4 linked regions of the Astyanax mexicanus genome follow. The protein of the gene in region 4 purifies or fractionates together with the protein of the main gene of each other region. This does not show direct contact. Links are inferred from orthologs where the notes say so. Each region holds a gene or a part of one and is shown on either strand. Other genes may lie near its edges.

Region 1 (7,134 bases), on a different chromosome or scaffold from region 4:
GGTGTGACTGGTGAAAATATATTTGGCCCCTAAATGAATATTGTGGCCCCTTTAAGAACCTCTACTATGAGCTCCAGAGTCATACGAGCAAACCTCTGACATGAAAGCGAAGGCAGCGTTAATGCTTACACTTAAAATTTATTTTTTATTCAGAATTTAATGTACTCCAATTAATTACACAGGATTAGTTGATTGATTACTCATGTTGTATTAAAAATCTTATTGTGCATTATGATACTATAGTCTTATCGCCCACCTCTAATAAACTGAGCCTATATTCCATTTAAACACACAGTGACCCACGTGTTTCACACAGTCAATGTGTTCGGCGCCCTCTGGTGGACTTCATATTTTAAATAACCATTCCACCTTAAATGGTGCAGTACTTACCTGCTGCATTGTTTAAGGTGGTATGGAATATTATAACTCAAAAGAGCCCATGTCACAGAGCCTTTTAAAAGATGTATAAATTTACTTAGAGCACTTTGTTCTTCACTTTAGCTCACATTAATTTCCTTAAGTGATACATACTAAACATCCTGAGAGCATCACTACAGGACAGTGTGTGAATCTGTGTTCACTCATCTCGCCTTATTTATTTACAGAAAGTAGAAGTGCTTTAAATAGAGATAAAACCACTAAAGCTCCTTTAAAAAAAAAAAAAAAAAAATTCCACATAGGCCTGTCATGAAAAATTAAATGTTTTCAACTTATCACACAATAAACATATATGACCTTAATGACATGTAATAATCGTGATATCATCACATATTGTGTTTATTTGTATGGTTGTTTATATATAAAACATATATTTAAACAGTATTTTAGCCAGTCATGCAATACCAGACCAATGCTTCAACAACTGCAAAAGAAAAAAAACAGAAAAAAAAAAACCATATATTTCCCAAACTATGATTCATTTAAATGTTGTATTTAAAAGGGTACAACTGCTTTGTTGTGCTATTTTACTATCATTATGTCAGTAGCATTTAATGCTAATTTCTGGGATAATATATTGTCCATAAAAATGTTTTATTGTGACAGGCCTGTTCCAACCATTTTAACCATTCAAATGCTTTAATTAAATGTTTTACAAACACCTAGGAAAAAAAAGTAAAATACAAGACATACATTTTTTGTGATATTTATTATATCAGGATTTAACTTGATAAAATGTTTACAGTCATGTGTTCAGAATAAAAAAAAATGAGCTGCTTACTGAATTTATCTGATTTGATTTTTAAAATAGTATCAATATTCAAATGTGGATCTGGGTTCTTTGTAGGTTAAGAATAAAATTTTTGCTTTTTTGTTTATATTTTGTTCCTTCTTTGTTGTTGTACTACACATAAATCCCCCCAATATTTTATCTAGCTATTTAAAAATCTAATTAATTCACGAAAAAAAATAATTCACTCAAAATTTTAGTTAAAAAAAAAAAAAAAAAAAAAAAAAAATACACACAAAAAAAAATGTCTCGCTTTCACACGTGCACCCATGCTTGAACAGGCACGCACATCATTTGCCTCTCAAACCAAGAGCCCTGCTTACCCAGTGATATGTGTGATATGTTACCCTGTGACTTAGCGGCTCTGCACATGCACTCACACACAATTCTGTATAATTACTATATTTTTCACACAAAAAGGTGCACTTAAAATCATTTAATTTTCCAAGAAACCATCAGTGTGTCTTATAATCCAGTGCATCTTATGAATGAATTCTATCAGTCAGGTATTAAGGAGCAGTAAAGTACAGCGTTAAACAGGAGTTTAAGTGAAGTTTCTCCAGCACTGAGGCTGGAGCAGTATTAGCATTAGCTGCTAAAAGCACTAAGTGCTAGCAAATCACAATCCACATAATTGCATTTTGACTAGGTGCAGCGCAGAATTCAAAATGAAATGTAATTACTTGGTGTTACAAAAGTGTAATTAGAAATTCTTATAAAACAATATATACAAAATTATCATATGAGCTAATTGCCTTAGATTTTCCCTGATAAATAAATGAATAAATGACTAATTACAAATCTGTCCTGCACGTTTACTCAAAAGCATTTTTGATATGACGTTTTTATCCTACCTAATAGGGGCGTGCCATGTCATAACGTACGCAATAATATCACAAACAATTCATTATAAAAAAAAAAATCTATATCGTGACAGTGATATTCATGAAAGAAGTCTGTTTTGCTATTTACTGTAGCCCTGTCATTTTTTTGTGGACGTTATTTTGTCCTAGAAATAAATGCGAAAAAATATATTATTGTAATTTTAAAATCATTATATGCCACTGACATAATAGTAATAAAATAGGATGAAAAGCAGTAATATTCATTGTAATATGATAATAATGAATTATACTTGCATTGTTGTTGTAATGTTATTTATCAAAACCTACATGCTATATTTTTTGTGGGGAAAAAAATAAAATAAAAATGATCTATAAATACAGACCTGTGGTAGCAGGTTTTGACAACACAGCCCAAATCGACATAACACTGGATCGCTGGTTCACAGCTAATAATAATTAGCTATCTCGCACCTCTCTCATTAAGACCGAGGCCTAGGCCTCCCTAACCCTCAACCTCCTCTCCCAGCGGCCCCGGCTCTCACCTGGAACTTGTGGAAGAAAGCCTCCGGCCACAGCACGAGGAACACCGGGCTGATCAGCCCCAGCTTCCCGATCAGCGGAACCGCGATCGAGCCCGCGAACCAGTACCGGGTGATGAACGGGACGCTCTTAAACCAGTCCCCGATATCTGACATCTCTCCTCGGCGCTGCGGAGCCCTCAGCCCCGCTCCTCTGTACTCTAACCTGCGGCTACACCGGGCCCTGAGCGCGGCGCTGCGGCTCTGCGGATCGCGGCGGATCGCGGCGGATCGGGGTGAACCCGGTTCGGCTGCTTCTATTTTGGTTGAGTGTCGGTCGGACGCGCTTTTACTCCGTTTACATGACGTGGCCCCGCAGGAGTCGATAGGCTGCGGCCGCGACGCCAAATGACGGTTCTTGCTGCGATTTGTCCGCGTCTCCTGCGCGTGCATGTCAAAATAAAAGCCCCGAGACCGCGAAAGAACACATGAGGAATAATGTAATAAACTTTAAAAAGGGTTAACAAATGATGCAAGATTAAAGTCGTAACATTACGAGATTAGTCAAAACATTATGAGATTAAAGTCATTACATTACGAGATTAAAGTCATTACATTATGAGATTAAAGTCATAACATTACGATATTAAAGGCATAATATTACAATATTCAAGTCATAACATTATGAGATTAAAGTTGTAATATTACGAGGATAAAGTCGTAATATTACGAGATTAAAGTCATGACATTACAAGTTTAATTTCATAACGTTACAAGATTTAAGTCACATTACGAAATTAAAGTAAAAATATTATCATAATATTACAGGAATAAAGGTGTGACATTACGAGAATAATGTTGTAATATTACACGTTTATTAAGACTTTAATGCCATCTCATAATGTCATTCCATACGTCTTTTTCTCTCGTCATATTACTAGTTTATTATCGAAGTAAACTGTTTTTTAAATAGTGTTTGTTAGTTGAGCCCGCCTAAGTGCTTCTCAGAGTATTTTTAGTTGGTTTAATTACACGATTCATTATGTGTTATTTCATAGTAGGAAAAAAATCTTTGACTGGTACTGTATATTTGTAGAGCGAGAAGAAAGAGAAAGAAAGAAAAAAAGAAAGAGCGAGAGAGAGAGAGAGAGAGAGAGAGAGAGTGGGGGGGACTTTTATTTTGTCTTCACGTCACTCGCAGTAGTTGAGGCGGGCTGCAGGAGCCTGATTTGTTTTTGAGTCGCTATCTGAAGTAAAATAAACTGGTTATTTGTGTCGGGCTAGTTTTTATAAACCTTTTAACAACTTTAACACTATTATACTATATTTAGCTACGTGTGTGTACGCTTGTTTTGTTGGCTGAACCCGGTTGTTTCGGATAAATTATCTAACTACGGTTAGCTTAACATGCTAACTAACTAACTAGCTAACTTGTAAACACGCTTTACCCACTCGCAGGTCAAACCGGTTTACTTTCCGATTAATTCAGTTTCTTAACCAGTCCGCTGTAGCCGGAAATCACAGAGGTAACAGTTAGCGTTAAATTATGTCGTTGAGTTCAGTTCAGCCCGCGCTGTCCAGTCTGAAGACATGTCAGGTGGATATTGGGACAGGGATGGACATCGTGTCAGATGTCGCTCTGGATCTGGTGGAAGCCCAAGGTACAGTACAGCTATTTACCTAAATCTAACCTTAACTAATTAACTAACTAATCTTTAATCAAATACAGCCTTTTATACATACAGTTATATATTTCCTACATTGTAAATAAATGTTAAAGTATTTTAGACTATAAAGGAACACGTCGTGTAGTAAACGAGTAAAAAGTGTTAAACAAACCATAAAACCTATTTTGGTCCCACTTATCTGTGACTGGAACTTTCCTGTGCAACAGAGGTAACTCTTGCTCTTCCTTTTCTGGGGCGTTACTGATGAGAGCCAGTTTTATCATAACGTTTTTGATGGTCTTTGTGGTGACTGCACTTGAGGATACTTTAAGAGCTCTTGAAATGTTTCAGATTGACTGACCTTAATTTCTTAAAGTAAGGTTAATTATTGCGAGAATAAAGCCGTAATATTACAAGATTTAAGTCGTAATATTCTGAGTTTAGTCGTAATATTGGGAGATGAAAGTTGTAATGTTATGAGGTTAAAGTCGTAATATCAAGACTTTAATCTCGAAATATTACGACTTTAATAATGCCATTCCGTACGTTTTTTTCTCATCATATACTGAGTTTATTACTAAAGTAATTTGATTAACCGAGTTACTGGTTTAATGCGAAGCTTTATGGTTTACAGCACTGTAAACATGCTTGATGTTTCTTGTAATTGTTGAGAGTGTGTGTAGATTCAGATGCTGTGTTGCTATGATTCTTTTTATTTGTTTTATTCCAGGCACTGATGACAGTCCGAGTTTAAGAAAATTGGAGCAGATGATGTTAGAATGCGCTGCTCTGGACAGAGAGATAAACTGTTTTGTGGAATCTGTTGAGCAGACGACAGCTCATGTTAGTAATTTTAGATCGTTTCAATTCTAATTCTAATATACTTTTTTCTATCCCTCTAATTCATCTTGTATTTTCTCCTGTGTCTGCAGGTGAGACGAGAACCTCCACAGGCCATGTTCTCGCTGTTAAACTCTGTAAAGAATCGCTTTGCTGAACTAAAGGACAGGGATTCAGACGTTCAGAGACACAGCAAAGTAGTGGCTTTCAGAGACAACATCAGGAAATCTTTGGCACAAGGTATCGTACACACTGTCTCTTCCTGTCTCAAACACAGTACAGCGATTTCAACTCATTAAACTCAAAACAATAAATGATGATCTCTGTCGTAGGAAAACTCTTCCTCTTTCATTTATTGGTAGAATAGCTACAATCAAAATGACAGTGTTACTAAAAATCAACTATTTGTTTTTAATGATTCCCATCTACCTGGTTTCAGTTTCTGGTACCACTTTAAAATAAGACTACCTTTATAAAGGGTTTATAAATGGTTTACAATTAGTTTATTAATGGTTACTAAGTAGGTTGTAAATGCTTTAAAAATCATTAATAATCAGTTATAACACATACAGAGAAAGGACAGTGACCTGTTGTTTGCCAAATAGTGAACTATATTACACAGCCATCTGTATTGTTGCCTTTTCTACGTATATGTGTTATAACTGATTATTAATGATTTTTAAGGCATTTTCAACCTAATTAGTAACCATTAATAAACGAATAGTAAACCATTTATAAACCCTTTATGAAGGTAGTCTTATTTTAAAGTGGTACCCAGTTTCTTAATACCACTTTTTTGTTTAGCCAGCAGTGTATTATTGTACTATTATACTATTGTATTAATCGGATTCATTTAGGTAGCAGTTGTTTGAGATAAAAAGGTAATTAAACAGTTCTCATGTGTGTTTTTTTAGTGAACCAATCAGCGGCTGCCCATGTTGAAGAGGAGCTGGATGAAGACATTGCTGTTACACAGAGCCAGACAAACTTCACATGTCCTCTTACCCAGGTAAACTTTTGCTTTTAACAGATACATTAATAGTGTTGTCTCAAAATCCAACATTTTGACTTTGGATATGATACCTGCCTAAATATCTCAATAACAATACTGAAACAATACCACAGCATTTTAACATTATTAATAATACTAATAAAGCTTATTGAAATAATGCCACAGTGAATGCGTGCTTCAATCACAGCGATTAAAAAAAATGGCAGTTTAACAAAATACTTTTTTTTTTTTCTTGGGTGTTTTGCGCAACTACTGGGGTTTTAAATGATAAAATAATGTATTAGCATTAATCACATTATTTTTCCTAGTTAATTTGGTCATATTTCTTTTTTATTTTCCATAAATGCATCTTGTTTAAGCTCTGTGGTTGGATGCAAAGGTTTAATCAAAGTCTGTTTATTACGTAATTTAAGTAAATTCAGGAACATTTCATGGTGTGAGTGCATATTATGTATTACTTTTATAAAAATTTGAGTGGTTTGACCTCATCATTCACAGGTTGAGATGGTAAATCCAGTACGAAACAAGAAGTGCCAACATTACTACGACCAAGAAGCTGCACTGACCATGATCAAGACCAGACACAACAACAAGAAGAAGTTCCGGTAAGCTGCTTTCAGCTGTGTGCATTTCTGCACATTTCACTTAGATATCCAATATTTTGTCTAAGGGTGAGTTTTCAGAGAAGTTTCTTCTGCACTAAGGCTGGGTGCAGCAGCATTAGCATTAGCCACTAACTGCCCAATAGTGCTAGACTGAGGAACCCTGAGTGTTCCAGTAACCCAGGATGCTGGGTTCAGATGTAGCTTGTTTTAACACAGCCAACACACAGACTACAGTCCAATATACTCACCTCTGAACAGTAAAATGCTGCTGCACCCAGCCTTAGAGCTGCAGAAACTTTACAGAAAATTTACCCTTATAATGCTGTACTGCAGGGGAGTGGCTTTACTGCTCCTAAATACCTGTCTGGTAGAATTAATTTCAGAAGTTATTTAGTTTTTTGCATGAGCGCAACAATATG
Region 2 (7,572 bases), on a different chromosome or scaffold from region 4:
TTAAGCAAGCACAGAGCTAAAGTTGTAGCAATCTGTCAAGAGCAGTCTGGTTCAGATCCAGTTCTAATGAGCAAGCAATTACTCATATTTGAAAGAATAAATTAAAGATAAAATACAACCATGCTCTAAAGAAGATTTTTTTTTATCCTAATAATACTCTTGATCTAAATGATCTGTGGCTGCACTGTAGTCCTAGTCCAAAAGGTAGACTCATCGGACTGCAAGAATGATTCAATTAAATGCTTAGCATTACATAAAATAAGCTGCTTTCAAATCAATAACCACATGCCACTCACCAACATGTGAATATGATGCATCAGGTCAAGACAGAGAAGAGCAAGCTCCATAATGAAATCAGTGTAGTAGACATAAGAGCCTTTGCTCTCCCAAGTCCCCTCATGATTCAGGTCCCACAGGTGAATAGAGTACCTAAAAAAACAGTACAAGCAAAACCTCAGTGATATATTTTTCGAAGCACTTAACAGCTCAGGTTTCTTTGCCTGCAAGTGACAGCATAAACGGCGGTACACTCGTAATTGATACTGGACTGACAAAATGCTTACCTTATAATAACATGTCCAGTGCGCACCGTAACAAGTAAACACTGCAAAATAGAAAAGGATTCTGTTTTTCCATTCATAAAACAACTATCAATTTCCTCTCTAGTGTTACAGAGAAGCTCGGAAACTGAAAAATCCCTACCTCAGCTGTCATAAATGCAACAGTATGCATGCCATGAAGATGTCCGACCAGGCCACAGAGCGCAGCTAGGCCTCCACAGCACAACAGCATGGACACTAGCAAGGCCAGTACTCGCACATGACTGCTCATGGGGGTGGTTGGGGAGAATGACAGCTAGGGGGGGGGGGGAAACAGAATGAATGAATATCTGAGTGTGATTTCCTTTTAAATTCACAATTCCACATGAAACAGTAGATAAAAGAGCTATATACTTAGTTAAATTCAAAAACAACCAAGAATTCTTTCTAAGTGCTTATAGGAGTACTCACATATTCAAACCGATCTTTACAGAGCTGAACCATGAGATGAAGGAAGATAAGTACAGCAAACCACAAACACCACAGCACTACCTCGTCCACTGTTTGCACATTCAGCACTCCAAAGATGAAGATAAATTTATAGAAGATAAAGTTCCAGAACTTGTCCTTCAAGTGCTGTTGGGATAGAGGTAGCACAGAGACATAGGGGTTTCATAAGAAAACAAAAAAATCCCCAAACTCTGTTGTTAGAACACAGAGGTGTAGCTAAGAGGAAGCTTCATAAAGCAAAAGGTTAAACATTCTGGCAAATAACAACTACAAAAACTGCAATGTTCAGTAGTCTTATTGTGAAAATATTCATTAATATTAATATGCTTTTTTTTTATTTTTGGCTGAATAACTTCAGTCTGAGAATATTTTGTGCATCATTGAATAAAATGCTTCTTCAATAATCAGGGCCAAGCCCTATGCAAGCTTTTGCGCTCACCTGTTTCTCACTGACCCGCAGAGGACCAAAAACAATGCACTGGATCACCTTGGCGATTAGCATGAGGACACAGCATGCTGTATTCACCATCACCTGAAGAGATAGGACAGTGCAGTTTGCTTTGGGGGGTGATTACTCGTTGATCTTCATAAACACAGGGACAAAATAAGCTAAATAATCTATAAGGACGCTGTTTGCTGTCACAGTGGACCATTAGTAAGAGCACTTACCCAGACGAATAAGTTGTCGGCGATGAGATACAGCAACACGTTAGAGGCAACATGTTCAATGGCCTCTCCTTGATCAGCTTTACTGTCCTCGATGGGCTCGGTCCGGGCGTCCTCTGCTACCGGAGCTGCGGGCTCTGGGATCTGGGTTACAGCGGTGTAGGCACTGAGGATCGAACCAGCGAGCAGGACTGTGCTAAGCGCAGTGTAGGTCTGCAGGCTGGGCCAGGGGAACCTCTCCAGAAACAACAGGGGCATGGCGAGACTGTCCAGTGTGCACGTCTTCAGATAAAGAGAGGGATCTACAGAGAGGCTTTCTGTGTTTACACTGAAATGTTTACACTGATGATGAAATGGGGTGGGAGCAGTACTGTGAGCTCCCGTCTTCTATAACGTTAGATATAGTTTAGCTAAATAGTTAATTAGTTAACCAAGTTATTTAGCAGGCCTAGTTGGCTATTTAACAAGCTTTATTTAGGATTCAGGTCACGGCACGAACCCTGTGAAGCTGGATAGCTACCAGGTTAAATAGATATATAAGTTAGACAGGTAAGGTAAGTTAACGTTAGATAGGTTACCTAGACACTAGGTAACCTTAGCTAGCTAAATAATTAGCTAGCAAGTTGAAAATTCGTTTCTGTGCTGTCACAAGTCCTTAGAACTTAGAATTGGGAAAGCTAACCTAGCTAGCTTAGCCTGACAGCTAGCTATCAAAATCTAGGTTAGCTTACGTGTTGTCTGTTAGCTAAGCTAAGCTAGTTGGTTTAGCATTACGTGTAAACAACACAAGACACCAGTGAAAACGACTAACGTTAGCTAGACTAGACTATTTAACGCTAGGTTACATGCATTTTTCTGCTTTTCTCGGTTTTAAATTCCATTACTACAGATCTCAGGGCGGGCAAATGTTTTAACAATAGCTACAGTTTCACTGGCAGTGCCTGTGGTCTCCAGCAAGACAGGTTAGTTAGCTAGAGAAGCTAACAGGCTAAAGCCAGCAGGGCTATAGCTCACCGCTCCAGCTGAAGCCTCGCCTCTCAGTAATGTCAGTAATATTCTTAAGCGGATTAATACGAACTCAGGCAGTCAGGGGGAAATGCCGTCAGTGACTATTTCAGGCCGAGTTCGCCCACAAATGTCCGAACAGAACTTGTAGTGCAGGCTGTGTTACAACTACAGGACTCCCGGGGTCCGCTGTGTTCGTCTCTGTGTGTGTCTGCTCCAGTCTTCCAGTTGTTTCTCGGAGTTTCTCTCTCTCTCAGCTTTTCCGGCGCTGCTGACGCAACCCGAGCCTCTTCCGCTGTTTACACAAGAGAACATGGCGCGTATCACTCCGCCACTGTACTATTGCTGCGGAAGGCGCTGATGGGGGATTGTTGTAGTTCTAGTTATACAGCATTTAATTGCTGGGAAGTGTGTAAAAAAAATCATTAGTTAAACTATCGACTTCAGAGTGCTAAAAAAAGTCTACCAATCCATTACTGAACTCTCCCCAGTATAGCTGTAGAAAGGTAACCTACAAGCCCCTATGGTGAAGTAAAAAAAATAATAATAATGCGTTGCCACGACCTATTAAGGCATGGGAACGAGATATAAGTCCTGGCCATATACACCACTTAAAAATTATGGGTTTCTTTGACTTTACCAAATTGAAAACCTCTGGAATATAATCAAGAGGAAGATGGGTGATCACAAGCCATCAAACCAAGCTAAACTGCTTGGATTTTTGCACCAGGAGTGCCATAAAGTTATCCAAAAGCAGTGTGTAAGATTGGTGGAGGAGAACATGCCAAGATGCCAAGATGCCACCAAATATTGATTTCTGAACTCTTAAAAACTTTATGAATATGAATTTGTTTTCTTTGCATTATTTGAGGTCTGAAAGCTCTGCATATTTTTTGTTATTTCTGCCATTTCTCATTTTCTGCAAATAAAATCTCTAAATAACAGTATTTTTATTTGGAATTTGGGAGAAATGTCTGTAGTTTATAGAATAAAACAGCTATTCTACTAGTTCATAAGCAACTAATACAAGATGCTTAGAAAACTATTGCAGGTGAATACCTCATGAAGACACTGAGACAATACCAAGAGTGTGCAAATCTGTCCTCAACGCTAAATGTGGCTAAAGTATAAAACATATTTTAGTTTAAAATATGTTTGTGTGGTCGGGGGCTGCAGTAGCCCCATCCACAACGTTTAAAAACCACTTCTTTAGATTTCCCTCTATACTTGCCTTGTCATTGTTTTTATTAGTTATTTTTGATTTAATCTCTCCACAAACTTTTTTTTGCAAACTGTTTTTAAATATTTTTAGCAAACAATAACTGTTGTGTGGCAAACCAGTGAGTTAAACCTTACACTGTAGACTCTGTATCTCTGTTCATGAAGACTTCTGTTACTATTAGACATGTTTGGAAGACATTGTATGCTAATGAATGCAGTTTTGGATGCACTCTGCATAGTGACACTTTAGTGTATTGGTTTAGTTTACTGGCACATACATAAAAGAAGAAGACTTTGAGACTTTTAGAGTAAGATATAGTCTATGACAAAAATATAGTCTATGACTAGTCTTATTAACAACCCAAAGTGTTTTCCATATTAATGTGTTAATGAGTTTTTGGCAGCAATAAACAAACAAATAAATAAACAAACAAATCTGGACAGCAGACTTCGAAAACACAAGAGGTCAAATATAAAAAAATACCTAAAGTTTTTAAAGTCTTAAGGCTACTGTAGTTTAAGGCCTTCTATAAGTGTCTTTGTCATAAACATGGCTTTTATCTTGAAATAGAGATAAAAGAAATAGGAGAAAGTGTTTGTTTAATATAGTTGAAAAACAATATTTAATTCCAAAGCTTTCTACACAGGCAAAATTTCAGTGCATAGGAAAAGGTCACATACCTTAATGTTCCATACAATTTCATAAATAGAATATGGAATCTGAAAAAGTTTCAGATAAAAAGTGTCTGTCACGTAACAAGTCGTCTAACAGAAAATGTTACAAATCAGTGTGTTCTCAGCAAATCACAAATCAATCATGCCAAATTACACAATTACAAACTACAGTTCCAGTGGCAGCTTCAACTATCACACCTAGGTTACACTGTAATAGTGTAAAATGTCCTATACAGCCACCCCAAAATATTTAGATTCATAAAAACAATATTGCATAGAGTCATAAACACCCTTCACAGTCAACATTTTGTGAAGAGTTGATTTTAAACTGAATGTCACATTCAAGGCACCTCAGCAAAAGGCACATCTAGTCTCAGGTCTCAGCTTGAACATTCACATTTCATAAGTCCAGTTCAAAGAACAATTCAAAAGATAGTACCTAGCAATCCTAGTAAAGCTCGAACCCATACTATGCAGCAACTGCTTATAAACACATTTGATTATTGCAAATACAAAATGTATGATAAGTTTTCTTTATGAAGCCCTTTTAAAAGTATAAGGCAGATAAAATACATTACAGTATGTACAGTACAACTTGATCATGTCAGAGGATCTGACTCAGTAACAGTGCTGCTATGGCAAGCTATAAGAATCCCCTGCAGGATCTGGACTCTGGAACAAGTCTCTGACAATGATCTCGCTCACTGAAAAGAGAAGAAAGAAAAAACACAAGTTAAAAACAAACATACCATTAACTTTTTTATAATGGTAACAAACAATAGTTAATAAAATATTAAGTATTAGGTATGTAAATAGGGCACAAAGCCTTTAGCACATTTTGCATTCTCATAAAAAATGATTCCCTTTTACATAGTACTTTTATTTCAAATAATTGTTTTCTTGCCTGTACAATATTCTGTTATGTATTTTTTTTAAATGTCTTTTAAACACATTTTAATGTTTTTTTTTGTCTGAATCTGAATTTTAACCAGATTTTCTTTTTTTATCTGAAACCCACAAATAATGAATTAATGTAGATGTAGATGTAGTAGATGACAAATGACAATGCACCAAATATTTGACAACTGAACTTATCTATGTTAAAATGGTAATACTAATAATAAAAAAACACTTTATATTCTGTATTCAGACTTGTTGTTTGGTTTTGGTCAAAAATGTTCCATTTCAGTATATCCCTAATATTAGGCCAGTATTGTTAAGTCACCTTTTTTTACATTTAAATTCCCAAAGCTCCTAATAGCAGTTTTCTGAGCACAGATTAAAGTCTAAGACTGCATGGAATGTCCAGTAAAGTATTTTTAGTCTCAGTTAAAATCTTAGGACTGGGCTTATCCCGTGTAGAGGAAATGATTTTAGAACCATTTGAGGGCAGTGTTGTTCCTATATTTGGGCTCAGCTGGGTATCTGTATATCCTCCTGTTGTTCAGTGCAAGCACAACGCTGTGTGCATCACCAAACAACCACAGCTGGTATAGAGAGTGTGAAAACGCAATCATGCTAAAATTTTTTTTTTTTTTTTTGTGCTTAACAACACACCTTTTACTGCAACACAGTCATATTTGTACAATCTTCTTGATTCAATAGATCAAATGTCAAACACCTAAAATTAGTCAGATATGGTTCTCAAAACAGAACTCAAAGGGGGCTATTTTTAGCATCAAACAAAACACCTACACATCATGGGAAATACAGCATGTATATTATCTACTGTCTGACCAATATCTGATCTGATTTTCCTTTTAAAGCTTTTAGATGTTTGTCTGTATTTCGTCCTGCTAAACTTCTCTAGAAATACCAAACATAATATATAATTCAAATATAATACATACGTGTCAATTCATTATAAATACACTTGAGCAACAGCAAATGTATATTTTCAGTAGGGTCTGTTGCAGAGAATGGAAACGGCAACACATTTGCAGGGTTACACTCTTGGCAATGAAAGGCCCTATGATGAGAAACAACAGTACTCAGTCATCAGGGGGGCATAGCAGTCCACTGCACCTGTCCTCTCCAACACACAAAAGTGGAGCTGAGACATGGTGGCAGAAGGCCAGGTTGGATGGGTGCCTACTCTCTTTTGAAAACACAGAAGCAGGCTAGGGAGTACGAGAAAACATTTAACAGAATTATATTTGAGCTTGTAGGATTCCCAGTCCAAATTTAGCCATTTAAATGCAAGGTTACACTTCAGATAGAAAGATGAGGAAATATATTTTCCTGTCCGCCTTAGAGGTAGGTCAGAACATCTTTCACTTTAAATGTGCTGTTCCCTTAAAATACACAAGCTAAGAAAGTAACAGTATAAACAAATAAAGCTCAAACCCCTGAAGGCCACAGATTTGTCAGGCTACACAGTAGGGTGCCAATATCCTCTGCTATGTAAGGATCTCATTTAATGCTAAGCACAAGAATGTTTTGTATGAACCACGCATGTCTATCACTACAGTGGCTTAACAGCTGTGCGCTAGTAACTACAGAAGATTAAGCTCCGCAGTATATTTAGCTCCCTCACTGACTCTGATGCAATGCTACGTACAGGCCTGTATCCTCTTTCCCACTATGCTGCAGGACTGAGGACTATAATTAGACTCAAACCAAACAGGTTTCCACAAACTGTGGGGTAGTACCTCCTGGTCTTCTATTGAGAGTAAAACAAAAGTCAAACGGGCCCCTGGCTTATGTTTGACGTAAATTTATATGAACAAAGTTTATTAATTGTTGTCCTAATTAACTGTCTCAGTCTCAATTACCTCCAATTACCGAAGATAAATGCATTTGCATATGCTCCAAAAATGATCTGCAATAAAATCATTTCACATTTACTAACTTTAATGTTTCATCTCCTGTGAACCAGTAATTTAGAAATGCAAGATTGTTTGTCCTTCAGTGACAGTATATCCACCAACCAACCAACCGATCACTTTATTTAAAC
Region 3 (7,207 bases), on a different chromosome or scaffold from region 4:
GGCAAAAAAATGTAATATTTAAGTGTGAAATGCATTTATACTAAATAAAGCTTAGACATAATTTTTTTTTCTGCAATACTGTTTTCTTGAAATTAATAAAATATCTTTGTTATATCGTCAAAAATATCGTTATCGCGATATTTCCCTGAAATATCGTGATATTATTTTAGGGCCATATCGCCCACCCCTAGTGCGCGTCATTCTGACAGCGAGCTGCGCACGCGTCAACTTGTTCTGTGTTTTGGCAGTGCTTAGCAGCTGTGTTCAGACTAGCAACGCAAACGAGCTAACTTTAGGGAGAAGTCTATTGGCTTTTATAAGCTTTGTAAACACATATATATATATATAGCTAGGTGTGTGTGTGTGTGTGTTAAAATGGTGCGGACTTGTGACTATCCAGGCTGTAGCAACAAAGATGTGGCTGATTCTCCGCAGAGTTTTCATCGTTTTCCTGTGACTGATGTTGCTCTGAGGAAACTTTGGGTACTAGCGCTGGGCATCCATGTGGACACAAAAGTGGAAAAAATAAAAAAGCTTCGTGTTTGCAGTGCGCACTTCAGCGATGATGACTTTTTATCCACATGTCCTGGACAACGACAGATGAAGAAACGGATTCTGAAGAAATCTGCTGTCCCTGCACCCCAGGTAAATAAAACTGTAGCCTACCAATGTTCTCTACAGCATTCGCTCATAGCGTAAAAAAGTTCTCAACACACCAGCATTCAGGAGTGCAGGGAAGTCACTGTTGTTTGTGATGCAAGCAGCTGCCCCGCTGACATCCTCATCAATGGATAGGTCTTGCATCTCGGGCATAACTAACTCGTGGCAACAGTAGCATTCCACCTCGGTCTGCATTATTTCGCACTTGAAACAAGTGCACCAGGATTTGTCGGCCACCCTGGGTATCGCAGCTCCAGCAGTGGCTCCAGTTTCATCTTCCACCACTTCTCTGTCCACCCTCTCTCTTTCTGCCCGATCTAATTCCATTTGGCGAAGTTCAACATCTGTATACTCGGGTTCATAAAGATATCCCCGTGGCTCTGAGCGGTGATCAATGTTTTCCTCGTCACTCTCGTAGTCAGACATGTTCTCGAGGCGAGAAGTAAACAAAGCGACCCAAACACGTAGGCTAGCTGTCAGGTTGCAGCGCTGCGCGCATTGATATGGAACGAGAGAAAGTAGGACCCAAGTGATTTACGAGGCGTGACTTTTGCAGGGTTAGTTTTTTGTGATGTAAATAAATCACTCTTTTGAACACGTACTGCTTTGGGAAGAAAAAGGAGTTATTTTCCTGACCCCAGCAAACATGCCGGACTACTTTCGCTTTGACCTAAACTGGACAAGAACTCGGCTCACAGGACGCTGTGGGGGGTAAGTCAGTGTGGATGCACGACACTGGTTATGATGATGCCATACAGACTCATGTCAAAAATACCGAACTATCCCTTTAAGAACTACACAACAGATTCTGATGAACACCCAATGTAACACAGACAATCAGAAGTTCAGGTTTTTAAATCAGTGACCAGACTGGTTCATAAACACTGTTCAGTACTACTTGAGCACTAAATGATGTGGGGTTTGTGCAATCAGTTGTACTGAAGCAATTCTACTTGTGTGTTAACAAAGGTAACAAAAAAGTTCCAGGTATCCAGCATGCATGCAGACGTACCGACTTTCCCAGCAGCCTCTGACAGTTTATGGAAATGCTGCAGCAGCTCTGGCTCTTCCTGCGCCAGCTCAGCCATTGCCCTCTCCCACTCCTCCTTTGCCTGATTGGCCATCTCCCCCTCAAACAGAGACTCAAAGAACTGACTGTCTTCCAGCAGAGGGGGCTGCAGACACACACAAGCACAAACTGTCAGTGTTTTATACACACTGAATAACATAACAAAAAAAAAATCATGAGTTCTAATAATGTCAATTAAAAAAAAAGAAAGACCCAATAACATAAATATCACGTATAAATGAAATTATAAGAATTTTAACATTCAGAAGATTTAAAGGCATTAATATTTAAAAAGAGCAAAAGGTTAAATTATGACACAACTGATCCTTACATTTGGCCCTGCACTTTTAGCTTCTTCACTGGGAGCTGCAGCGGCTTCAGGAGCCGCACGGGGCGCGCTGTTCTTGTCAAAGTCATCGAGAGCACCTAAGAACGGAGTAATCAAGTTAATAATAAAACAATAAAATAAAATAAAAAACAACAATAAAAATGACTTGGTATGAATGTTATACTTTAGATTACACAGCAATTACATTCTGCCTTATGTTTACTATATATCCAGACAACTATTATATATTACTTGGGATATATGAAATTATTCATTAGATGCCTGAATAGTTCTGGACAAATAGTTAAACTGTTGTGTAATGTATTTATTGGTAGTCTATCTAGCATACAGTTATTACTGTTAGATGTTAGAACCACTCTGTCACTGCTGTTGCCCATAATAATACTAATTAAAAAATTAATAATATTAATAATAATACGATTTGTAAACATTTACATTACCATTTACCATTTATACTATTTATAATTAAATATCCATGTAAACCTGAGTTACAGTAGATATAAAAGTGATTCATAAACAATATAAACCTAATTAAACGTGTATGCGACCATTTTTTACACTGACTGCATGATAAAGAAGAGAAATTCCACTTTGTTCTTGAATCTGTCCGGTCCACCTTAAATGATAAAGCAGTTTTATTCTAATTCCTCAAACTAGTATAGTAACTGCTGTACTATTTAAGGTGGACCGAGTTATTTAAATAAACTCCAGTTTAGTGGTAAAACAACACCAGATATTTCAGTGCCGCGCACTGTCTTACTCCTCTGTGTTATTCTGAACCCTCACTAAACAGAAACCCTACCGGGCTGCCCAGTAAACCCAGTCCTTACTGTCCAGTAACTCGTCCAGCTCCGAGTCCGCGGCCTGCTGCTCTGCCATCTTCACTCCGCACTGAGCCCGGGGACGAAGTGACGCAGCAGCGGCGTCTCCGCCACAGTAAAAGTCCCCTAAAAAAACACAAAACACGACCAATAATCAATATTCAACAGCAGGTTTTAATAATAAAAACAGGCTTTCTTTTGTTTTAAAAATGTGTTATATTACTAAGATTTTATTTATGCCATTAAATATAAACAACCCATTACATTTAAAAACACGTTTAGAATATGTTTATTATAAGTGGCTATTCTTCTAAGATCTTTTAATACTTTTTTTTATTAAATTGCAATAAAAAGTAAATTTAAAAAAATATTTTCTATTATTATATTATTAATGTATTATTAAAATACACACACAGTGGCATGAAAAAGCATTTGCCCCCCTCCAGCTTTCTTTTGTTTTTGCTTTTTTTTTGTAATAATTTTTCCAAGTATTAAACACACTTTACTATAAGACAAAGATAACCTGAGTGAATATAAAAAACAGGTCCGGGAGTTCTCTGTGGAAGAATTGTGTTCCACTTTTCTTTACAGAATTGTTTAATGCAGCCACATTGCGGGGGTTTCAAGCAAAAAACGGATCATTCTACAGCATCTTAATCAGACTTTAACTTGGCCACTCCAAAACCTTCATTTAGTTTTTTTAAGCTATTCAGAGGTGGATTTGTCAGTGTGCTTTGGATCATTGTCCTGCTGCAGAGCCCAAACACACTTTTTGAGATCTTTTAGCTGATTCATATTGTCAGGCAGGTTCTATTTAGGTGATTTCTTGATTTTACAGGTATGGCAGTAATCAGGCCTGGTTGTGGCTAGTAAAATTGAGCTCAGCTGTAAGTACGCCAAAAAAAAAAGGCAAAAACACAAGAAATCTGTAGGGGGCAAATACTTTCTGACACCACTGTATATGCATATGTGAAACTTTATGTAAAAATCACATACCACATTTTATTATTTTTATCCCTTATAAAACTGAATATATCAAAATGTATAAATTATACTATTCTCATCTTGTTTTTTTTATCCAGTCAAATAAAATGGTTTCTGACAACATACAAAGGTAAAGCAGACTGGCATAAATGAATAAAATTCCATAAGTGAAAACATACACCCAAAAGACCCTAAAAAACCCTCAAGTTTTTTTTTATTACAAATGTGTTATTAGGCATGTTGGAGATACAGCTGAGCCTGGTCTTGCTGACAGTCTTCACTTGCAGCAGAACCACACCAGATCTTGTGTGGCTCTTACAAAAAAATTAAAAAGTAGATCTTCCTCTGACATTATAGCATTAAACTGCACAGATTTGACTTAGAATAACAGCCATGGATAACAGCTAATTTACTTTCAGGAGAAATTCTAAACTATTAGCCCTGAATACTGTGTATTATTTATATGAGAGGATATTATATACACTGCTCAAAAAAATAAAGGGAAAACTAAAATAACACATCCTAGATAAAATATTCCAGTTGAAAATCTGTATTTATTATAGTGTGATGCGTTGAGAACAAAATAACACAAAAAGTATCAATGTAAATCAGAATTATTATCCCATGGATGTCTGAATTTAGAATCATACTCAAAATCAAAGTGGAGAATCAAATGACAGGCTGATCCAGCTTCAGTGGAAATTCCTCAAGATAAGTTAAAATGAGGATCAGTAGTGTGTGTGGCTCCATGTGCCTGTATGACCTCCCACAACTCCTGGACATTCTCCTGATGAGGCGGTGGATGTTCTCCTGAGGAATCTCCTCTCAGACCTGGATTAAAGCATCAGTCAACTCCTGGACAGTCTGTGGTGGACTGTGGCGTTGGTGGATGGAATAAGACGTGATGTTCCAGTTGTGCTGAATTAGATTCAGGTCTGGGAACGGGCAGGCCAGTCCGTAGCATCAATTACTTCTTTTCCACCTACAAAGTGCTGGTGCCGGAGCCGGTTCCTGCTAACCTTTTAAGGACCGGCCCGTGTTTCCTCTGCTCTAAGGGGTCACTTACTACTTATGTGAATGTGGGCGTAAACAGAAGTTGGGGGCTTTTTGAAAACAACACAGCAGAACCCGAGCTCCTTTTAAAACTTGTGCTGCTGTCCTCACTTTAGATTCATTTAGCTGCTTCTACTGCTCTTAGCTGTGAATTGAGGTGAGGTTTGTAAACAACTTTGTCCTGGAGATGCTTCAGAGCCCCGCCCTTTGGCTGCTCGCGTCACAGGTTCGATGGTTCCAGACCAGCAAGATTGTGGGGCCAGAACGGAACCGGCTTTTCTGGCCAAGAATTTGTTTTTGCAGTGGAAACGCAAAGAACCGTTTCGGGAACCTGGCACCAGCACTGGCACCATGCCGGTGGAAAAGCATCTAATGTTTCCAAAGAAATGCCTCTCCACACCATTACTGACCCACTGCCAAACCAGTCATGCTGGAGGATGTTGCAGCAGCAAAACGTTCTCCACAGCGTCTCCAGACTCAGACAGTCACGTCTGTCACACGTACTCAGTGTGAACCTGTGTGAAGAGCACAGGGCGCCAATGGCGAATCTTTGTGTTCTCTGGCAAATGCGAATCGCCCTGCACAATGTTGGGCTGTAAACACAAGCCCCACTTGTGGACATTGGGCTCTCATACCACCCTCATTTTTGACAGTTTAAGCAGAAACATGGATATTAGCGGCCTGCTGGAGGTCATTTTGCAGGGCTCTTGCACCGCTCCTCCTGTAGCGGTCCTGCTGCTGGGGTGTTGCCCTCCTACAGCCCCCTCCATGTCTACTGGTGTACTGGCCTGTCTCCTGGTATCTGCTTCATGCTCTGAACACTGTGCTGACAGGCACAGCAAACCTTGTTGCCACAACTTGTATTGATGTGCCATCCTGGATGAGCTGCACTACCTGAGCCACTTGTAGACTCCGCCTATGCTACCTCTATGGTGAGAGAACTGACAAAATGCAAAAGTGACCAAACCATCAGCCAGAAAGGATGAGAACAGAGAAAAAGGTCTGTGGTCACCACTCCTTTATAAAGGTTGTCTTGATAATTGTCTCTTATTTCTACCTTTTGTCTGTTACATTTCCACAATAACAAGTGAAATTGATTCACAATCATTGTTGCTTTCTAACTGGACATATTGATTTTACAAAAGTGTGGTTGACTTGGAGTTACACTGTGTTGTGTATAATTTAATTGTGTTTGTGAGAACCGCAGAAGGTGTAGCTGCCCAATTCACAGTACTTGCGTTGCTAACGCTAGCTCTAACTAGCGCGGGTAGCTACTTTTAGTATGGAAGCTAGCAACAGTTGCCAGGCTAGGATTGGTCAGTGTCTGTGCATGGGTGGGACTTATGCGCGCTTTTCGTTTGAGTGACGAGACACGCCGCGAATGGGCAGCCTGCGGGCGGGGTTTATGTGTGAGGTGGGTGTGGTCAGGTGTTCTTGCTGGTTTTCTGCGCTGCGTTCGGCGAGGCTGGATTTCTCCGCTGCGGATAAACCCTCAACAGCTCGCTTTGAGACTCAGCTGAAGCTGCGGGGCAGTCGGTAAGCGGTTCTGAACACTCTCCCGAACCTTCCAACACAGTTTAGACCCGAGTTTTAGTGCAGGTGGGTTCAAATCTGTGTACAGCCCCGCAGAGACCATGCGTTCTGAGGCCTGTGGTGTTAACCAGGCCGCGGGCAGCGCGCTCGAGTTTGAACGCAGACGGAAAATGCGGTGCGACTCGGCGGATTGCCGTGAAAATAAGCTCCGCGGTTTTGGGGAGGAGAGCGCTGAGCGGCCGAGGGGGGGGCGCGGACCGGCCAGCCGAGCGCGTAAACAGGCAGGTTGGTCGGTAGGTTCGGGTGCTGACCCGCGGCAAGGCGGTTTATGAACCGAAACTGTAGCGATAGAGTGGCAGCGTTCCAATATTCCCGCTCACCCTGCAGCATTCAGACGCCGAGCACCCTGCTGCCCGCCCACCGGGGTCCGCTATCGAGTGTGCACTTGAGCACTTACTTAAACGCAAGCTAGTAAAGTCATACAGTACAGTAATACACACGAGCCAACGTGTTTTAGGTTAGGTAACCTAGGTAGCTAACCTAACTAAACAAGAGTGAACTAGCGCAGCATTTTTGTAACGTCTTTGTACTCTTCAGCGAGACATTTTAAAATGGGGAAACGTTATAGTTAGCTAAATAGTTAACTAACTAGTTAAATTAATAATCTACGTGCTTTGCTTTAAGCATAGTCCTACACCAAACATAGTGTTCTAGTTTGGGGAAACAAGTATGGGAAAT
Region 4 (7,026 bases):
TGAATAAAGGACACAACGTCTCCAACAGGATCTGTGACACGACCCCGAGGATCCGGCCTAATGAATCTCAGGGCAAACCTGAAGAAAATAACAAAGAACTTGTTAGATCTTTTAAGAAATAGAACACATATTGCACATTATAGGGTTGCAATGAGGCACAAAAACAATCCTGTCTTGTTTGGTCCACTCAAGCTTTCTACTCAAGTATAAGTGTAAAAGTACTAGTTAAGTTTAGGGCATATCACAGAGACCTATAGTGCACATTTTTCTAAAAGCCATAACGACTATAATGTTTTATTAAAATGTTTATGTTGAAAATATAATTTGGGATGCGTTAGGCTGTACTGTAGTGTTTCAGGTGCATATATGCCTATTGAAAATGAATGTATTTTACACATAGAACAACGTAAATATATTAAGGAAGCTTAAGTTGGACTTTGGCTGGAGTCTCTGCACAGATCATCTTCATACTAGACTACATACGTCTGCTTTGTTCTTGCAGACGTGGGCTTTTATCGTTTGTGGAAAGTATTACACCCTTAATGCACTCAAACAAAAAAAGAATAAAACTATAATGAATTAATTAAAGGTTGTAAAAGCAGAAAAGTGTTACCTGAATATGTCCAGAAGTGTGTAATACGTAAACCTGAAGGGGAGCATTATCAAATAGTAACTCCAACCTAATAATCCCTGTAAAATAAAGAGGTAAGAAAGGAATGAGGACACGAAACAAATAGTATTTACAAACGTAAGCGTCAGTAACAGGGTACAGATGAAGCACTTACTCTAGGCTGTGGCCTGGAGACGATATAGCTATAGACTCTGTGATCTGCTGTGTTAACCTGTAGGGGTCTGGCGGGCGGCGGGTTAAAGACACTGGGAACTCCTTCCTGCTCGTTTAGTCTGTCTTGTACGGCGGCCTGTAAAACAGCAGCATTCTCATCACAACAATGCAGCTCCAGCTGCCAAAAGCTCTCTCCAACATCTCTCTGAAAGGAATCATTGATCTCCCCCGTCAGCGCTCACCTCAATGTTCCAATTGTGCTGTTCTAATGTGCGGCGACATTGGTCCATCGACTCCAGGCCCGTCAGGTCCTGTACGGGATTAAAAATAATAGATTTTGCATTATTTAACAGCATATTAGGACATACTGTACATATGAGGTATGTTTTAAGAATGACACCCATCTGTTTTGCCTTTAATAAAAATCTATTTAGTACAGTAGTGATTGAATCTACACTGCAACCTGTAAAACATCAATAATTCAATATCAACATACATATTGATACAATATTGTAATAGAAAATGCTTTAATAACGCCAATATGACTCTCCACTATTTGAGTATACATAAATTTACAATTTACCTGACCTGGCACTGAATTCAGGATGCATTACATGAACTGGCAAATTCATTTTTAGCCTTTTGTAGGTACAAACATTTGTTGAGAGTGTTATTGGCATTTTTTCTGTAGCCTTTATATTCTTAACTATTATATCAAAATGGCCATTTTGCCCAGCCCTCATATATAAATCATCATGAGCCACCTAGGAACATTTTCACTTTCATTTCTGTGTCAATCTAACTAAAGTTATTTCACAATTTGATTTTTTTGAATGTCACGATGAATGTACCAATATAACCTGAAATTAAATATGAACTTTTTACTAACAAACTAAATATAAAAGACAAAAGATTAGAAGCTTCTTCATCCTAGTACCTAGTAGTAGTAGTACCCCTTCTACTACTATTACTACTGTAACACAGGACATTTTAAGGCCATATTTTTTAACTGGTTAATAAAGTCTTGGCATCATGTTCTCCTCCACCAGTCTTACACACTGCTTTTGGTGGATAACTTTATGCCTTTACTCCTGGTGCACAAATTTAAGCAGTTCAGGTTGCTTTGATGGCTTGTGATCATCCATCTTCCTCTTGATTATATTATTATATTGTTATTTTTTTATCATATATTATTCCAGAGGTTTTCACTCAACCTCAACATTTCTCGATATATTTCTTACAACCCAAGTGTATCATGAAAACATCTTTAAATATTGTGATATACTATTTTAACTGTATCTCCCAGCTCTCACCAGTGTGTTATTACAACACCAAAGATAAAGACGGAGCATGTTGATATCAACATAATGTAATTGTATCGTACCAACGATTTAAAAAAGTATATCATGATATAAACAAGATTTCTGCCATATCGCCCAGCCCTAATGTGAACTGTAGTTAATAATTAGGGCTGGTGAATTAGTTAACTAGTTAATTAGGGCTAATTCTGGACCAGAGTTAGGTCAGGTTAAGTGAACAGCGAGATTAAACATTTAGAACTACTGAATCTACTAAAACTACTGAATTTAAACTGGCTGAACTACTTAATTCGGGTTTATTCCTTTAGACCAAATTAGACTCAGGGGAGCTACAGGTTCAGCAACGGCTCCTGAATGCTGAGTAACCGGCTAACAGCAAGTTTCAGCCAACTAAGTTGATGGAAACTGACAGCTGCTGATGCTCCGGCAGCTCCTGGCTAACCCATGCGCTCCTCACGCGCTCTATCTGAACGATATTATCGATAATAATCGATCATTAATCGGCTCAGGCTGCGCTGGTTCTGAGGGTAGAATAGTTAGCAGTGTTGCTAACCGCTGAGGCGCAGCAGCAGCGCGAGGAGAGCCTCCGCGCTACAGCCCCGGAGCGGCCGATAGCTTAGCTTAGCCTAACCTAGCTATTAGCTTAGCTTAATTTAGCCTAGCCTGATGCTAACTGTTCTGTTCCTATCGTTGTATTAAAGCGGCGAAACCGGGGCTCGGAGCTCCGCGGCGGCTCTGAGCCCGTATGCCGGACAGACCGCAGGGCGGCGGGTGTGAGTGGTGTGGGTGAGCGGGAGCAGAGCGAACTGTACCTGGAACTGGAGGAGTTTCTCAGTCTGAGCCTGAGATAATTCCTGCTCCTCTGGCGCCGCCATCTTACCTCGCCAGTCCCCCCACCGCGACGTGCCGACGCTTAAATGCGACGTGATGACGTTGAAGTGCGACGTGATCACGTTGAGGTGCGACGCGAGGGCCTTGTTTGTGTGTGACGTGGACAGAAAAGAAGCCTAAGAGCTCTGTTTCTTTCATTCATTTTTTAAAGAGTTAATTTGATCAAAGTGAGAAAAATATTTGTTGATATGTATGTGTAAATATGAATGCAGCGGACCACTGATATACAGTGTTTCACATTTTCTGGAAATTGAAATTAAAATTACACATGTTTATTTCCTTTGTGTATATTGAAACAGCACAAAAAAATCGTGAATATAGAATTATATATTTATGTATAATTATATTTATGTATTACGTATATTTAAAATGTTCTTTTTTTATATTAAGAATTTCCAGAGAATACAGTTACAAACAGTTATTTCTCATTGAAAAGTTACAGAAAGGTTTTCAAAACAGATTATAACTTTTTTTTAAGGAAAAACTTCAATTCAGTGACAACAGAATTTTTTATCTATTTATCTTTATATACATATAAAGTAAAGTACAAAAAAACAAGACGGTGTAACAGATTGGTATGAGGAAGCAATTTATATTTTTAAACAAGATGTAATTGTCTCAATATATTCATTAATTTGGCAGATTCTTTTACATTGCATATATTGAGTTGAATATATGTAGGAATAGAAGTCTTCTTTAAATAAGGCATAGGTAGGATTTTATTTTCTGAATTTCATTTTATGGATTTTACCCAGTAAGATAAGCAGATTGATAAAAAAAAACAAATATCCTTGTTGCAGTCACTATAATAAAATAACAGGTCAAAGAAATGTATCTATAAAACATAATTTATTTTTTGTCTATCTATCTATCTATCTATCTATCTATCTATCTATCTATCTATCTATCTATCTATCTATCTATCTATCTATCTATCTATCTATCTATCTATCTATCTATCTATCTATCTATCTATCTATCTATCTATCTATCTATCTATCTATCTATCTATCTATCTATCTATCTATCTATCTATCTATCTATCTATTTTTAAAGCAGCAGCAGTAGAGGCAGTAGCTGCAGTAGCAGGAGGAGGCCTGTAGGGGCGGTGCAGTGCAGTGTGTGTATGGGTGTGAGTACGGAGCTCAGCAGTAGAGGCAGTAGCCGGACTGAGTATGGCGGTCGCTTCTAGCGCGGTACAGGAGGAGCGGGCTGGGCGGACAGCGCTGCCCGGAGCCGCAGCCTTTAACCCGGGCAGCCCGCCGGTCATAGAGGGCTTCACCCCGCTGCCCCGGCAGAAAGAGGAGAGCTTTAAGGAGAAGTTTCTCCGCAAAACCAAGGAGAACCCGTTCGTCCCTATCGGTGAGATACCCTACACTGTTACACAAGCTCTGTAACAGCGCTGTTATTAGTATTATATTACTGCCGGATTATAGATATTATTATTATTACTACTGCTGCTGTGTGTTTATAATCATCTATAGATCTAAACTCAGTTATTCTCAGTGTTTAATAACTTTCTGTGCTTTTTATTGGCTTTATATAGCTGGTAAACACCTTCATGACCTCTAACATGTAACATTAGTTCTGCTGCTGCATATCTAGAACAACAGTATCTAACATAGGTTATATCAGCAGCCTGTAGAACATCTGACCTGCTGGAACCTGCCTATAGTTCCAGCTCTGATCCGCAGCTGAGCCTCCAGAACTCAATAAAGGAGGACAATAGATGTTTGTGGACACTCTGTGTGCTCTGAGTCCAATACAAAGCCAGCTTTCACTTCTAAGGACGTCTAAAAGCTTTTAAAGATCATCCAATTTAAATTGTACTGTTTAACTTCTACTACAAGATAGTCTCTTTACATTTGTTATTGTACTTATTTTGTACTGGTAATAAATAAATAAAAATAAATAAAATGTGCAAAAATGTCTAAAGCAGATCTAAGCAAGATGTGCTACTTTAAATGATCTAAAATATAAAACATTTAACTTTTTTTTTGTTTACTAAATAATTTAATTTAGTTTTTCTTCATAGTTTAGATTCAGAACATTTTAAAAGAATAATAAAAAAAAAAAAAACACCCAAACAGAGTTTTCACTGTGAAAAAAGGAAATTATTCATGGTTCACTCAATATGGATGGAAACCACCTGGTCATTTAGTTTATTTTGGAACCTTTGGACCAAACAAGGTCTATTTTACTGTACTGTACTTGCTGTTAAGTGTGGTGGTGGTAGCATCATGCTTTGAAGCTGTTTTGCTGCTGGTGGAATTAGCACTTTGTACAAACTCAGATCTGAATGTTCTGCCTGACTTTATTGTCTTTCATCTCCTGCTGATGCTCTCCAAGTGTACAGAGGACGTATGTGTGCAGTGCTAAATTAAAGAAATTAAAGCAGACTAAGTAAAAAGAAAAACACTAAATTAGATTTTTGTGAGTAGTAATTCCTCAAGTAAGTTCCCCAGCAGTGGGTCTGGAAGGATGTGGGACCGTGAACACTAACAGGATCCGAACAGTTTGTCCTAAACCTTTGCTCCTTTTGGACTCGAGGGGGTTCTGAGATGAGTATCAGGGTCCCTCAAAGTCCAGCTGGGATTCCTTGCAAAAATAAACCTGGTCAGGAACAGGAAATGACTGTTTAAATAATCAAATAATTATCTTGGACTTGTATAATTGTACAAGAATCCAGAACAGGCCTTTAAAGGTGGACATGTAACAAAACCTCTTTATACTGAATGTATTCAGCCTTTATACTTATAATTATATACTTAATAACTTTATGCCCATTGTTGATACATATGTGCAAATGCAACATAAAACACAGCAGATAAACATAAACCTACTTGCTCCATACTTAAGGTTGGTCTAATGCGTTTGAGTTCACTGTATAAAAAAAAGACACATTAATTGATGTTTTTTTATATGCCTATATGATTTTAATCTTCCTTAAACACAGAGTTAAACAGAGAGTGGTTGTGATATGTGGCTTCTAATTTAGTTAAACGGAGTCATCTGTGCAAATATGTAAGAGATCTGTTACCTATTATGCAACAACTGAACTCCTCACTTACTAACGTAATCCATTTTATTTATTGGTATTTATTCTGATTTATCTGTTCAGACTGGGTTTGCTTTGCCCAGATATTCTGGCTGTTTCTTGTTGTTCACACTGCGATACAGATAAGACACTTTCATTACATGTTATTTGTTATATTATCTATAAATGCACTGAGTAACTTTGGCAGAGCCTTACAAGATCTCTTTTTCTTTCCCAGAACTGTGTGATGCTGCGTAATCTAAGTCATATTAAAATATTTAAAATAATCGTTTAAAATATCTATTAAATCATTTAAAATCTTGAAATAATTAAATGCTACTCCGTAATCTCTAAGTGGATCAATTAATGCATTAATGTGTTTTCCTGTCTGTTTCTCTGCAGGTTGTTTGGGGACGGCAGGAGCTCTGACGTACGGCCTTCGGGCCTTTAAACACGGCAAAACCCACCAGTCTCAGATGCTCATGCGGACGCGTATCTTCGCCCAGGGGTTCACCGTCATTGCCATTATAGTGGGCGTGGCAGCTACAGCACTGAAATCCAAACAGTGAGAGACGAGAAGCACCACAACCAGCCACAACTCCCTATTAAAGAGCCTTACCTGATCCAGACTGGTTTTAGATTTAATGTTGATGTTTTGTTCTGTTGAAGCATTTAGAGATCTGTTTAGAGAGAATCGGACCCCGTGTGCTACTCTAGGACTGGAATTGAAGGTGTCTCATCCAATGGGACATCTTGAGGAACGTCTCTGTGGACACAGTAAAAAGGTGTGAAGACATCCTTCCTTTATTTCCTACTGACAGTAGGATTTTTTTTTATTTTCCTCTTCCTTTACATATATTTGTACCTCTGAGTCAAAGAGTTAATGTATATTAAAGAGATTTAAGGCCTAACTGGTGTTTTGTGTGGTATTTAAACTGAAGAACCAACAAAAAAATCTGCTTAAAATATGAGTTAATAAGTTATACACTGTTTAC

The links.
Region 1: the proteins of faf2 (region 4) and derl1 purify together in Homo sapiens (affinity purification with western blotting; 4 studies listed by BioGRID and IntAct, with this or other methods). This does not show direct contact. The link is inferred for Astyanax mexicanus from reciprocal best matches to the Homo sapiens genes FAF2 and DERL1.
Region 2: the proteins of faf2 (region 4) and amfra purify together in Homo sapiens (affinity purification with western blotting; 9 studies listed by BioGRID and IntAct, with this or other methods). This does not show direct contact. The link is inferred for Astyanax mexicanus from reciprocal best matches to the Homo sapiens genes FAF2 and AMFR.
Region 3: the proteins of faf2 (region 4) and pex19 purify together in Homo sapiens (affinity purification with mass spectrometry; 4 studies listed by BioGRID and IntAct, counting the BioPlex papers as one, with this or other methods). This does not show direct contact. The link is inferred for Astyanax mexicanus from reciprocal best matches to the Homo sapiens genes FAF2 and PEX19.

Annotation. Positions count from the first base shown.
Region 1 is NC_064413.1:4,744,210-4,751,343, reverse strand, and holds the start of derl1 (derlin-1), read right to left. Parts: upstream 3,019-7,134; 5' UTR 2,769-3,018; coding exon 2,616-2,768; intron 1-2,615. Other genes in the region: nsmce2 (E3 SUMO-protein ligase NSE2), read left to right, coding at 4,138-4,252, 4,989-5,101, 5,191-5,338, 6,013-6,107, 6,609-6,715. UniProt on the Homo sapiens protein: Functional component of endoplasmic reticulum-associated degradation (ERAD) for misfolded lumenal proteins. Forms homotetramers which encircle a large channel traversing the endoplasmic reticulum (ER) membrane.
Region 2 is NC_064409.1:59,157,498-59,165,069, forward strand, and holds the start of amfra (autocrine motility factor receptor a), read right to left. Parts: upstream 3,024-7,572; 5' UTR 1,974-3,023; coding exon 1,719-1,973; intron 1,582-1,718; coding exon 1,489-1,581; intron 1,176-1,488; coding exon 1,011-1,175; intron 856-1,010; coding exon 703-855; intron 605-702; coding exon 564-604; intron 430-563; coding exon 297-429; intron 1-296. Other genes in the region: nfatc3b (nuclear factor of activated T-cells, cytoplasmic 3), read right to left, coding at 5,250-5,320. UniProt on the Homo sapiens protein: E3 ubiquitin-protein ligase that mediates the polyubiquitination of lysine and cysteine residues on target proteins, such as CD3D, CYP3A4, CFTR, INSIG1, SOAT2/ACAT2 and APOB for proteasomal degradation.
Region 3 is NC_064415.1:44,425,004-44,432,210, reverse strand, and holds the start of pex19 (peroxisomal biogenesis factor 19), read right to left. Parts: upstream 3,012-7,207; 5' UTR 2,958-3,011; coding exon 2,909-2,957; intron 2,156-2,908; coding exon 2,061-2,155; intron 1,836-2,060; coding exon 1,673-1,835; intron 1-1,672. UniProt on the Homo sapiens protein: Necessary for early peroxisomal biogenesis. Acts both as a cytosolic chaperone and as an import receptor for peroxisomal membrane proteins (PMPs).
Region 4 is NC_064426.1:2,400,420-2,407,445, forward strand, and holds the start of faf2 (FAS-associated factor 2), read right to left. Parts: upstream 3,026-7,026; 5' UTR 2,979-3,025; coding exon 2,916-2,978; intron 1,096-2,915; coding exon 1,027-1,095; intron 921-1,026; coding exon 786-920; intron 691-785; coding exon 614-690; intron 79-613; coding exon 1-78. Other genes in the region: higd2a (HIG1 domain family member 2A, mitochondrial), read left to right, coding at 4,170-4,356, 6,434-6,600. UniProt on the Homo sapiens protein: Plays an important role in endoplasmic reticulum-associated degradation (ERAD) that mediates ubiquitin-dependent degradation of misfolded endoplasmic reticulum proteins.